Saccharomyces cerevisiae S288C: one gene and its partners. The protein of the gene in region 2 binds, or shares a complex with, the protein of the main gene of each other region. Each region holds a gene or a part of one and is shown on either strand. Other genes may lie near its edges. The genes, in order: END3, SLA1 and LSB3. A codon is read from its position in the direction of its gene.

What was found.
Region 1: SLA1 (region 2) and END3 share a complex: the UniProt entries of both Saccharomyces cerevisiae proteins name them as parts of the PAN1 actin cytoskeleton-regulatory complex.
Region 3: the proteins of SLA1 (region 2) and LSB3 are in contact, whole or in part, in a crystal structure (PDB 1SSH), measured with the Saccharomyces cerevisiae proteins. Residues at the interface, in NP_009546.1 of Saccharomyces cerevisiae: Pro193 (codon at 2,556), Pro194 (codon at 2,559), Pro195 (codon at 2,562), Ala196 (codon at 2,565), Met197 (codon at 2,568), Pro198 (codon at 2,571), Ala199 (codon at 2,574), Arg200 (codon at 2,577), Pro201 (codon at 2,580); in NP_219497.4 of Saccharomyces cerevisiae: Tyr409 (codon at 3,376), Phe411 (codon at 3,382), Glu414 (codon at 3,391), Glu415 (codon at 3,394), Asp418 (codon at 3,403), Gln436 (codon at 3,457), Asn437 (codon at 3,460), Asp438 (codon at 3,463), Trp439 (codon at 3,466), Ile450 (codon at 3,499), Pro452 (codon at 3,505), Asn454 (codon at 3,511), Tyr455 (codon at 3,514).

Annotation. Positions count from the first base shown.
Region 1 is NC_001146.8:469,443-472,816, forward strand, and holds END3 (End3p), read right to left. Parts: upstream 1,661-3,374; coding exon 611-1,660; downstream 1-610. Other genes in the region: MKT1 (Mkt1p), read left to right, coding at 1-181; Ca(2+)-binding ATP:ADP antiporter SAL1, read left to right, coding at 1,935-3,374. UniProt on the Saccharomyces cerevisiae protein: Component of the PAN1 actin cytoskeleton-regulatory complex required for the internalization of endosomes during actin-coupled endocytosis. The complex links the site of endocytosis to the cell membrane-associated actin cytoskeleton.
Region 2 is NC_001134.8:212,132-218,345, reverse strand, and holds SLA1 (cytoskeletal protein-binding protein SLA1), read left to right. Parts: upstream 1-1,979; coding exon 1,980-5,714; downstream 5,715-6,214. Other genes in the region: drug-responsive transcription factor PDR3, read right to left, coding at 1-876; LDB7 (Ldb7p), read left to right, coding at 1,217-1,759; HIR1 (Hir1p), read right to left, coding at 6,171-6,214. UniProt on the Saccharomyces cerevisiae protein: Component of the PAN1 actin cytoskeleton-regulatory complex required for the internalization of endosomes during actin-coupled endocytosis. The complex links the site of endocytosis to the cell membrane-associated actin cytoskeleton.
Region 3 is NC_001138.5:201,452-205,490, reverse strand, and holds LSB3 (Lsb3p), read left to right. Parts: upstream 1-2,057; coding exon 2,058-2,104; intron 2,105-2,198; coding exon 2,199-3,531; downstream 3,532-4,039. Other genes in the region: HIS2 (histidinol-phosphatase), read left to right, coding at 741-1,748; PES4 (Pes4p), read right to left, coding at 3,782-4,039.

The DNA of each region.
Region 1 (3,374 bases), on a different chromosome or scaffold from region 2:
TGAATTCAACACTTACAAATCCACACCAAATCTTGATGAACAGTTTGTCGAATCCCATAGATTTCTTCTTGAAATTTCAAAAGTCATGCAGGAGCTAAATGCTGCGAAATTAATCGATGAAAACGTGTTTAAATTATTCACTAAAGCAGTTGAGTTTACTACAACAGCTCTATCTAGCTGAAGCGTGAGAATGAGTATGATGGAAATAGTGGAACTATTTAAAAAGCACCCAATAAAGAAAGATAGTTACTGTAAAGAGGTATATTATCATTATTCAGAGGGTTCAAGTACCATCATCAAGATTTAACACAAGCACAGTGAATAGCAACAATTAAAGAAAAAACTAATCAAAATCACGGTAGAAATAGGAGAAAAAAAGTAAAACAGAAACTAAGTCACTGTTTCTTTATATGACATATTCTATTATATAAATATGTAAAGAACGCTGAACAGTAAAAATTTTATGAAATTCCGGCAGAGAAGAAAAGGAAAAAATAAGTATACACCACACCGTTACTGGATAGATTGAAGTTCAAATCAAAAAAGTTTACAAGTGAAATAACAAACAGTAAATATTACACATTCATGTACATAAAATTAATTATCGGTGTCAATTGATTTCTGCTTGTAATGCTTGCAATTCGTGTCTCTTATTGTTCAAGTAATTCTCCAATACTTCAACCTGCTGTTCAATGTTATCCAAGTCATCAGTTATCGACCTGATGTTAATCCGCTTAGAAAGTTTTGAGCCTCCTTGAGTTTTTTCACTCTTTTTGTAGTTCAAAAGGCCTTCTAATTGTTCTCTCATGTTCGCAACTTGATCATCTGTCAGAGAAGCATATTTTTGCTTTATACTGTCTTCATTTGAAAGCACGTTACTGCCACTGCTATCGGAACTCGAGTTCTGCCCATTGTCACGCAGATTGTCCACTTCGTTAGCTTCTTCTTTTCTCTTTGTAGGAGGTTGAGAGGACCGTAAATCATAGCTCAGTTGTTTTTTATTGCACACCTCCGCCAGAGAATTTGGTAAACTTGCTGGAATTTCAGCACCCAAATCATTTCTTTGTCTTAAACAGTGAATAAAATAAAAAGTAGGATCTCTATCAATTGATGGCAAATTTTGTGGGTTAATTAAACTCCAAACCTTATTTAAATCTGTCTTACTGATGTTAAAAAATTTTGTGGAAAGTTTTGTTGACAGTTCGTTGAATGTAATAGTACCATCGGTTAGTTTTGCACAGCTATTATAAATTTTTTCATATTGATTCAAATCATCTGGAGACATGTACCAATCTACTTTGATTTCCTTCTTTGGAGGCAAGTCTGCGTTTTCTATTTGCTTGCGCTTCTTTCTTTCTTTGATTAGATTCACCTTACTCCCTGGAATCAACCAATCAGGCAATTCATCTGGAACAGAGCTAATGTTTTTATTAACCATATCAAATATTAATCTCATGCAAATTACAAATTCCTCAAAGTCTAAATTGTCGTCGTCATCAATATCAGCTAAAAACCAAATCTTGTTTAGAACCGATGAATCTAATTTGGAATTATAAAGAATTGGTAAAACCTGGTCATGGTTTACCTTATTCTCTATTGGTTTCAAACCCGAGAAGATTTGCCAGTATTTTTTTATTTCAAATTGTTCCAACTTGGGCATTTTTCAGAGATCCCTGTTATCTTTACCGGCCTTTCCAATACCCACTAACTCTATGGTTATATTACAATCGTCTGATTATAACAGGCAATTAACCTTGTGTTTCTGACGTTCTTTTCATTCATTCTTGATATGTTAAATCATAGGGGTCCTACACGATCGTCAAATATGATATTTAAAAAGTAATAAATAAAAATGCAGCTTTTTTATTAGCGATGGGAAATATTGAATATTTGAAGGGGCAAATAACGTTTAATTCAATCGAATGACGGTCTAAATGCTGCTGAAAAATTGCGAGACGGACAAGCAGCGAGATATACGGTATGCGTGTTTGTTCAAGGAACTTGATGTTAAGGGAAATGGTCAAGTTACTCTAGATAATCTGATAAGTGCTTTTGAGAAGAACGACCATCCGCTCAAGGGAAATGATGAGGCAATCAAAATGCTGTTTACTGCAATGGATGTTAACAAGGACTCTGTAGTTGATTTAAGCGATTTCAAGAAGTATGCTTCCAATGCCGAATCTCAAATTTGGAACGGCTTCCAGAGGATAGATTTAGATCATGACGGTAAGATTGGCATTAACGAAATAAATAGGTATTTGTCAGACCTCGACAACCAGAGCATATGTAATAATGAACTTAATCATGAACTTTCAAATGAAAAGATGAACAAATTCTCGAGGTTTTTTGAATGGGCGTTTCCAAAGAGAAAAGCCAACATTGCGCTACGAGGCCAGGCTAGCCACAAAAAGAATACTGATAATGATCGGTCAAAGAAAACCACCGACTCAGATTTATACGTTACATATGATCAATGGAGAGACTTTTTGCTGCTGGTACCGAGAAAGCAGGGTTCGAGACTTCATACTGCTTATTCCTATTTTTACCTATTCAACGAAGATGTCGATCTGTCCTCAGAGGGAGATGTTACTCTCATAAACGATTTCATTCGCGGGTTCGGGTTTTTTATTGCTGGTGGTATTTCAGGTGTTATTTCAAGGACTTGTACCGCGCCATTTGATAGACTGAAAGTGTTTCTCATCGCAAGAACGGATCTATCCTCGATCTTGTTAAATTCAAAAACAGATCTCCTTGCTAAAAACCCCAATGCTGACATAAACAAGATATCATCTCCATTAGCAAAGGCTGTCAAAAGCTTATATAGGCAAGGCGGGATAAAGGCTTTTTATGTTGGGAACGGTTTAAACGTCATCAAAGTTTTTCCAGAAAGTTCGATAAAGTTTGGTTCTTTCGAGGTCACCAAGAAAATAATGACCAAATTAGAAGGCTGCCGCGACACAAAAGATCTTTCAAAGTTCTCTACTTACATTGCTGGTGGTTTAGCTGGTATGGCAGCTCAGTTTTCCGTTTATCCTATAGATACTTTGAAATTCAGGGTGCAGTGCGCTCCTTTGGACACAAAGTTGAAGGGGAATAATTTGCTCTTTCAGACTGCAAAAGATATGTTTCGAGAGGGGGGGGGTCAGATTATTTTACAGAGGTGTCACAGTCGGTATAGTGGGCATATTTCCCTATGCTGCATTAGATTTGGGGACTTTTTCTGCCTTAAAAAAATGGTATATTGCCAAACAGGCAAAGACCCTGAACCTACCACAAGATCAGGTCACTCTAAGCAACCTGGTTGTACTTCCAATGGGTGCATTCAGTGGAACTGTAGGAGCTTCTGTTGTTTATCCAATCAATCTTTTAAGAAC
Region 2 (6,214 bases):
ACCTTGGATCAAATGTTCATAACACAAATCAAACAATCTTAATATTAGATAAATAGTTTCCTTTGTATCTATTAACATCGATGAACCCGTGTTTTCGATATTTTTTTTAATTAAATATCCTATACCTCTTAGTGAAAAAGCCTGTATTGGAGAGAAAAGACCAAATACTTCATCTACTAGTGGAGTGGTGGCTAGAAATGAATCTGGACTTTGTGATTTAACCATTTGGTCTGTCCAAAAGGAGAACCTCGTCATGTGTATTTTATTTCTATACTTGTTGGTTAAAAGATACGTTTCTATCGATCTTTGTGGGCGAGGAGAGAAACTGGAAAGCTTGGGGTAGTTTATTTCGGGATTCCAACTGTTAATCAGGTTATTCAACTGCGACTTCGTTTTATCAATCAAGAGCTGAGTGTCATCACAAGGCGGCAGAGCGTACAAATTTGTCAGAATATTTTGATACGTAACCAGTTGATTTTGATATTTGGAATCATCTTTAAAGAGAATATTATTATCATTAGTAGGATTATTGGAAGTATCAGGAGCATGCGTCGCACTCGGAGAGACTGGAGTCTGTATCAGGTCGTTCATCAGTTTGAAGTAATATTGATTATCTAGCTTAATCGCAGTGTCCAGATGCTGTACATCTGCTGAAGCCTCTACATTGGCGTGGGAAGAGGGTGGAGCAACAGCTGTAGTAGGCAAAGACTGGGAACTATCCTCCTTCTGCGGTAAATGTTTTTTTAGGAATACACACGTACAATCGTAAGAAATGCAGTTGGTACATGGATATTTACCTGTGCATTTGATTTTCCTTTTTCTGCAATTGACACATGCTGTCGAAACTTTTGATCTAGTTGATTTCTTCACTTTCATTGCGGTCACGCAATAAGAAAAAATTAATAAAACTGCTGATGCAGTTGTCGCCTAAGACCTATGGTTGCTTTGGAAGGCTCCTGAAGACACAAACACAGGAAATACATAAATACATTAATGAGATTCTATAACAGTATCTACATATTTGCATTCTAAGACTCACTGTGATAGTTCATTTATTATTCCGCGGAAAGTCCGAGCGGCAGAGGAGGCAGCTCCGCGGAAACAAGGGCAGCGCCTGTTGTTCTGGAAGAAAATGAAAAGTGAAATGCAGTTGTCGTGGAAATAATGGCTTTACCTGAAAGCAGCAGAGCACGGTGTTAACAAGGAATAGCTGAGAATGAGTGGAAGTAATATGGGATACTATGACGTACTCGCAGGGCTTTCAGCGCTGGAAAAGTCATCCCAGGTAGTGTTCAGTGCGACTGAGCTTCAACAGCTTACGCAACAATCTCATGCTACCGACAAGGGCATAGAGGGCAGTGAGAATAGTAAAGCGAAGGTATCCAAGCCCAAAAGAGTAGCTGTACATGGTTACCTAGGCGGTAAAGTGTCGCTCGCCGATGCGGCACAGGTGGAGTATGAAGTAGGCCATTCACTGCTGGGCAGTTATGTGCCACGCCAGCAGTTGGAAGCCCTGTCAAGTGTCGACTTTTCGCACCATTTCCACCGCACATTAGAATGCAAAGCTGCTCTAGAGACACACGATGTTTTTCTTGCCGGCGCAGGACAATTGTCTCTACCCTTCCAATCACACATAGAGAGCCCCAGGAATAGCGAGGCTAAAAGGAAAAGAAAAGTGATAATATGCAAACGGTGTCAATCACGATTTATAGGTTCCCATAGGCGGTCTCAACTTAGAGAACATGCCTGCGTAGATTAAACCATGTAATTGATAGAGGTAGAATGTTGCTTCGTAGAAAGTGACTATACGATTCCTAAAAGGGGCTTCCTTCCACTCATGCGAAATCGAGATACATCAGACGAAAACAGAACGAATATTTAGCGCATATATACTATGTATATCTATTGCAATCCTAAAAGAAGGGATAGTGTAACATAGCCAAGGCGACAGAGTGTGTTATATACAAAAGAGCTAGAGTATGACTGTGTTTCTGGGCATCTATAGGGCCGTCTATGCCTATGAGCCGCAGACACCAGAAGAACTGGCCATCCAAGAAGACGATCTGTTGTACCTCTTACAGAAGTCAGACATTGACGATTGGTGGACAGTAAAGAAAAGAGTCATTGGTTCCGATAGCGAAGAACCGGTGGGTCTAGTGCCCTCCACTTACATTGAAGAAGCTCCTGTTTTGAAGAAGGTAAGAGCCATTTATGATTATGAACAGGTGCAAAATGCTGATGAAGAATTGACGTTTCATGAAAATGACGTTTTTGATGTATTCGATGATAAAGATGCTGATTGGCTGTTGGTTAAGTCTACCGTTTCCAATGAATTCGGCTTCATTCCAGGCAATTACGTCGAACCAGAGAATGGGTCCACTTCCAAGCAGGAACAGGCTCCCGCTGCCGCTGAAGCTCCTGCAGCTACTCCTGCAGCCGCTCCTGCTTCTGCTGCCGTACTACCCACCAACTTTTTACCACCTCCTCAACACAATGATAGAGCTCGTATGATGCAAAGTAAAGAAGACCAAGCTCCAGATGAGGATGAAGAGGGCCCTCCTCCTGCCATGCCTGCAAGACCAACGGCTACTACCGAAACTACTGATGCCACCGCTGCGGCTGTTCGATCTCGTACAAGACTATCATACAGCGATAACGATAATGACGATGAAGAGGATGATTACTATTACAACAGCAACAGCAACAACGTTGGAAATCACGAATACAATACAGAGTATCACTCTTGGAACGTTACCGAAATCGAGGGAAGGAAAAAGAAGAAGGCCAAGCTATCAATCGGTAACAACAAGATAAACTTCATACCCCAAAAGGGGACTCCTCATGAGTGGTCAATTGATAAATTGGTCTCTTATGATAACGAAAAGAAACACATGTTCTTGGAATTTGTTGATCCATATAGAAGCCTTGAATTACACACTGGTAATACCACCACATGTGAAGAGATCATGAACATTATTGGTGAATATAAAGGTGCTTCCCGTGATCCTGGGTTGAGAGAAGTCGAAATGGCTTCCAAATCCAAAAAGAGAGGTATTGTTCAATATGACTTCATGGCTGAATCACAGGACGAATTAACCATAAAATCAGGCGATAAAGTCTACATTTTAGATGATAAAAAATCTAAGGACTGGTGGATGTGCCAACTGGTTGATTCAGGGAAAAGCGGTCTCGTTCCTGCACAGTTTATTGAGCCTGTTCGTGACAAAAAACATACTGAATCTACAGCAAGCGGTATCATCAAGTCTATCAAGAAAAACTTCACCAAATCTCCATCTAGGTCGAGATCTAGATCAAGATCTAAATCCAATGCCAATGCCAGTTGGAAAGATGATGAACTACAAAACGATGTTGTAGGTAGTGCTGCCGGTAAAAGGTCAAGAAAAAGTTCATTGTCCTCTCACAAAAAAAACTCTTCGGCGACCAAAGATTTCCCCAATCCAAAAAAATCGCGTCTATGGGTTGATAGAAGTGGTACTTTCAAAGTGGATGCAGAATTCATTGGATGTGCTAAGGGGAAAATCCACTTGCACAAGGCTAATGGTGTCAAGATTGCTGTCGCCGCTGATAAACTATCCAATGAAGATTTAGCGTATGTGGAAAAAATTACTGGGTTCTCCTTAGAGAAATTTAAGGCGAATGATGGGTCTAGTTCCCGTGGCACTGATTCAAGAGACTCTGAAAGAGAAAGAAGAAGGAGATTGAAGGAGCAGGAGGAAAAAGAACGCGATAGGAGATTGAAAGAGCGTGAATTATACGAATTGAAAAAAGCCAGAGAACTCCTAGATGAAGAAAGATCAAGGTTGCAAGAAAAGGAATTGCCTCCAATAAAACCACCAAGACCAACCTCTACTACCTCCGTTCCAAATACGACGTCCGTACCACCAGCCGAAAGCAGCAATAACAACAACTCCAGTAACAAATATGATTGGTTCGAATTTTTCTTGAATTGCGGCGTTGATGTAAGCAATTGTCAAAGATATACAATAAATTTTGATAGAGAACAGCTTACTGAAGACATGATGCCTGACATCAATAACTCAATGTTAAGAACCTTGGGTCTGCGCGAAGGTGATATTGTTAGAGTAATGAAACATCTTGACAAGAAATTTGGAAGAGAAAATATTGCATCAATTCCTACAAATGCCACTGGAAATATGTTTTCACAACCTGATGGTTCATTGAACGTTGCTACAAGTCCGGAAACCTCACTGCCTCAGCAATTGTTGCCACAAACAACAAGTCCTGCTCAAACAGCTCCTTCCACATCAGCTGAGACAGATGATGCTTGGACTGTTAAACCGGCTTCTAAGTCTGAATCTAATTTACTCTCTAAGAAATCAGAATTTACTGGTTCCATGCAGGATTTATTAGACTTGCAACCTTTAGAACCTAAAAAGGCAGCTGCCTCGACACCTGAACCAAACCTAAAAGATTTGGAACCCGTGAAAACTGGCGGCACCACTGTTCCTGCTGCTCCGGTTTCATCTGCTCCGGTTTCATCTGCTCCCGCTCCATTGGATCCATTCAAAACCGGTGGCAACAATATCTTACCCTTATCTACTGGCTTTGTGATGATGCCAATGATTACTGGGGGCGATATGCTGCCTATGCAAAGAACCGGCGGCTTCGTTGTACCACAAACAACTTTTGGTATGCAATCGCAAGTTACTGGTGGTATCCTACCTGTTCAAAAGACAGGAAATGGGTTAATTCCTATCTCTAACACTGGCGGCGCAATGATGCCACAAACTACGTTCGGCGCAGCAGCTACCGTCTTACCTCTGCAAAAAACTGGAGGTGGCCTAATACCAATTGCCACCACAGGAGGTGCGCAATTCCCGCAAACTTCATTCAATGTTCAGGGGCAACAACAACTTCCAACAGGTTCAATATTACCTGTCCAAAAAACTGCTAATGGATTAATTTCAGCTAATACTGGTGTCTCAATGCCAACTGTACAAAGAACAGGCGGCACTATGATTCCACAAACATCATTTGGCGTTTCACAGCAATTAACAGGTGGTGCAATGATGACCCAACCTCAAAATACAGGGAGTGCCATGATGCCTCAAACATCCTTCAATGCTGTACCACAAATTACTGGAGGAGCAATGATGCCTCAAACGTCCTTCAATGCTTTACCACAAGTTACAGGGGGAGCAATGATGCCTTTGCAGAGAACTGGTGGTGCTTTGAATACATTTAATACTGGAGGCGCCATGATTCCCCAGACTTCGTTCAGCTCTCAAGCTCAAAACACTGGCGGGTTCCGGCCGCAATCCCAATTCGGTTTGACTTTACAAAAAACCGGAGGTATTGCGCCATTAAACCAGAACCAGTTCACTGGTGGAGCCATGAATACTTTAAGTACAGGGGGCGTTCTTCAACAACAGCAACCACAAACGATGAATACCTTCAATACTGGTGGTGTTATGCAAGAGCTCCAAATGATGACTACTTTCAATACTGGTGGTGCTATGCAACAACCACAGATGATGAACACATTCAACACCGATGGAATTATGCAACAACCACAGATGATGAACACTTTTAACACTGGGGGTGCTATGCAACAACCACAACAACAAGCATTACAGAACCAACCTACTGGATTTGGGTTTGGTAATGGACCTCAACAATCAAGGCAAGCCAACATATTCAATGCTACTGCATCAAATCCGTTTGGATTCTAGATTAATGTATTTTAAGATTTTATAGGATAATAACTAAAACAAGCTATATGAAATAGTTTCGTACAATCTGTGCTTATACTCGTGAAAATGGCAAATTTCTCTTTTTTTTTTTATAAGTAGTTATGTATGTATTTTACTAATTTTAATATAATCGTTCTCAGTCCCAATAATGTTTTATTGTCATATTATACTAAAGTTGAAATGGTGGAGTCGACCCTAAGAATTTATTTCTTCCAGACAGAGGAGGTGTGTAGTCACTTTGGTTCCACTAATAGACAACCGACATTAAAATACTTCTGATCTGTGCCTTCAGAAAGCTTCATCTGTAACCGCTTGTCTGTATGAGTCGTTTCAAATGGTAACCACTTAAACAATGCGAATACTACAATGATATTTATAAAATATAGACGTAATTATGAGGGAAAAAACTTGTCCAAAGGAAGGGGTATAAGCTTATTATTTATATAACGACCAACAACCCAGATCCTTAGTCCATTTAT
Region 3 (4,039 bases), on a different chromosome or scaffold from region 2:
CTTCCTACTAATATATCATTATATGGGTATAAGAAGATGGCATAAAAGTTGAGAAACAACCATCGGATTTAATGGAGGCTGAAATGCAAGGATTGGTAATGGAATAGGATAATGAATGACAGCATATAAAATGGAGGAAGAGGTGATAATATTATTACGTAGAATTCTCTTTTTTGGATTCAGGATCAGTGAGGACAGCTTCTAGTATATTCTGCATACCTAAATGCTATTCTTTTTTTTATCAATTTGATTTACTAAATGCTATTTATCCCAAATAATCCATATAAGATTTTAATCTAGATGGAGGGTAAAAGCGCGGAAACATGAGTGTAAACTGATTGTGCAGATATTTACACATTTGAGTAGCTCGTCAAGGGCAATCAAGCTTTCAATCTTGCCGGTTTCATACATGTTGATAAGCTAATGAAACTACTAATGTCTTGCTGTAAAGTAAACCTGTATCATTTCTGTTTGGAAGATTTCAACAAACGTTCGGGCGTGTGGCGTAGTCGGTAGCGCGCTCCCTTAGCATGGGAGAGGTCTCCGGTTCGATTCCGGACTCGTCCATTTAAATTTTTTTATTTTTTTTGTCAAATCTCTCTATCTATAGAGATAATCTCTATCAACTCAAATGATACTGGATATTATATGTACATTTTCCATTTCCCGTACAATCTTTCCCTTTCAAACACATTTTAGTACTTCTTGATACGTACAATTCAGTAAAAATCCTCGAGGTCATGCACTCACACCATTCACACTCCGGTGACTATAGTGCCCACGGTACGGACCCTTTGGATTCCGTGGTCGATCAAGTGGTCAACCTCAACTTTCACACGTACTGTTTGACAGAGCACATACCAAGAATTGAGGCCAAGTTTATATACCCCGAAGAGCAGTCATTGGGCAAGAATCCTGAGGAAGTCATAACCAAGCTAGAAACATCGTTCAAGAATTTCATGAGTCATGCGCAAGAAATCAAGACTCGTTATGCTGATAGACCCGATGTGCGGACTAAATTCATTATAGGAATGGAGATCGAAAGTTGTGACATGGCTCATATCGAATATGCAAAGCGACTCATGAAGGAGAATAATGATATTTTGAAGTTTTGTGTGGGTTCGGTCCATCACGTCAACGGGATCCCTATTGATTTCGACCAACAACAATGGTACAATTCATTGCATTCCTTCAATGATAATTTGAAACATTTTCTCCTGTCTTACTTCCAATCACAGTACGAAATGCTGATCAATATTAAACCGTTGGTCGTGGGTCACTTCGACCTTTACAAATTATTTTTGCCCAATGACATGCTAGTAAACCAGAAATCGGGCAACTGCAACGAAGAAACCGGAGTTCCTGTAGCTTCACTGGACGTCATCAGTGAATGGCCAGAAATATACGATGCAGTTGTAAGAAATTTACAATTTATAGACTCCTATGGCGGCGCAATTGAAATCAATACGTCCGCATTAAGAAAGCGCCTCGAGGAGCCGTACCCCAGCAAAACCTTATGTAATCTGGTCAAGAAGCACTGTGGATCCAGATTTGTTCTAAGTGATGACGCACACGGCGTGGCGCAAGTGGGTGTGTGCTATGACAAGGTAAAGAAATACATAGTAGACGTGCTACAATTAGAGTATATTTGCTACCTTGAGGAAAGCCAATCACCAGAGAATCTGTTAACTGTAAAGAGATTACCCATTTCGCAATTCGTTAATGATCCCTTTTGGGCCAATATATAATCTGATTATCTTGAACTGGATGTACATAAAAAAAAACTGTCATATAAACTCATGTACAGCTGTGTAGAAGTGAATGATCTTTCCAAGAAAAAAATTTCACACTGAATTGATTGAATTGACTGCTCATTTTATATTGGGTGCCCAAATTGTCTTTCTTTATTGTTCGTTTAGTAGCAGCACCCTGTTTGCTCGCCGACTCGGCCGCATCTGGAAGTTCAACATGAAAGAGTATAAACTATCGAAGAAATCTAGAACGGCTTTGGATCACGGGTGGCAAAGAAATCAAAAACAAAAGCTGTATCACACGCAATGGGTATTAACAATCCTATTCCAAGGAGTTTAAAGAGTGAGACAAAGTATGTTTTATACGGGTTTGGCTGGGAAACCTTTAAAAAAGTTCTCCCTTAATTTGTTCATCATTTACTAACTAGTAATAAACAATTAATAAAGAAAAGCAGCGAAGATTTTGGCTAGTTTTGTCAAACCAAACCAAGTTTTTGGTGCGGACCAAGTCATTCCTCCAGACGTTTTGAAAAGAGCTAAAGGGTTGGCTATCATAACGATCTTAAAAGCAGGTTTTCTATTTTCAGGTAGAGCTGGTTCTGGTGTGATTGTCGCAAGATTAAAGGATGGTACTTGGTCAGCTCCATCTGCCATTGCCATGGCAGGTGCTGGTGCCGGTGGGATGGTTGGTATAGAATTGACTGATTTTGTTTTCATTTTAAATACTCAGGATGCTGTTAAGTCGTTTTCTGAATTTGGGACCATCACGTTGGGTGGTAACGTCTCCGTTTCTGCTGGGCCTCTTGGTAGAAGTGCAGAAGCAGCTGCATCAGCCTCCGCCGGTGGTGTGGCTGCAGTTTTTGCCTATTCTAAGAGTAAAGGTCTATTTGCAGGGGTTTCTGTGGAAGGTTCGGCTATTATAGAAAGAAGAGAGGCTAACAGAAAATTTTATGGTGACAATTGTACCGCGAAAATGATTTTGTCTGGTAGGATAAGACCGCCTCCAGCAGTTGATCCATTGTTTCGTGTTTTAGAGTCCAGGGCGTTTAATTACAGACCCTCCAACGGTGGTCGTGGCAGTTTCGATGACGACGAAGACGATTACTATGACGACGACGATTACTATAATGACATTCCTAGTTCATTCAGTTCTACAGATGCTTCCTCCACTAGACCTAACACAAGATCCACAAGGAGAAGAGCCCAAAGCGGTTCTCGTTATACGTTCGACGATGATGATGACGATGATGATTATGGTACTGGCTATTCAAGGAATTCAAGACTGGCTCCTACCAACAGTGGCGGTAGTGGTGGTAAATTGGATGACCCATCTGGAGCTTCAAGTTATTATGCCAGCCACAGAAGATCAGGAACTGCTCAGTCAAGGGCTCGTTCTTCAAGAAATCGTTGGGCTGATGATGAATACGATGATTATGATGATGATTATGAATCCGGGTATAGACGCGGGAATGGAAGAGATAGGACAAAAGACCGTGAAGTCGATGACTTGTCGAACAGATTTTCTAAATCTAGAATCTCGTCCGCTTCAACACCGCAAACTAGTCAGGGCAGATTCACTGCTCCAACATCCCCATCCACGTCTTCTCCAAAGGCCGTGGCATTATATAGCTTTGCAGGAGAAGAGTCCGGAGATTTACCATTCAGAAAGGGTGACGTGATCACAATTTTGAAAAAATCAGATTCTCAAAATGACTGGTGGACCGGAAGAGTCAACGGTAGAGAAGGTATATTCCCAGCAAATTACGTTGAACTAGTTTAAAAAATTTGAAGGAGAGTAAAGAATACGAGAAACGTTATTGATTTACACTTATACCTTTTGCCTTACAGTTTATCAGCACTCGGACCTAAATACATATCATATAGCAGACGGCGTCCCTCTGTCTATCCTTTTAAGAATTTTTTCCATAATAATAATTTTTAATAATATCTAAATATAACGAAAAAGATTGAATTAGTGTAAATAAAAAAAATAAATAAGGAAAACTCTAGCTAAATTAACAAAGAGACATTCATCTTTTAAATCCTAACGAGCTTGCAGCCTCTTCAATTTGTTTTTGCAATACACCTTCATGATATGGACTACTATTTAGCAACGATAAAAATTTGTCCAATATTAACACATCGCGATTCCAATAAGTGTCGAATATATACTCAGCTATTCCGTGCACATTTTCGTCTCTAGTGGCACTTGGAAATCTCATGAAATCTATACCTCTTCTTACTTGCTTTTCGAATGTTTCCAAAACTTTCTTATTGAAATTTTTATT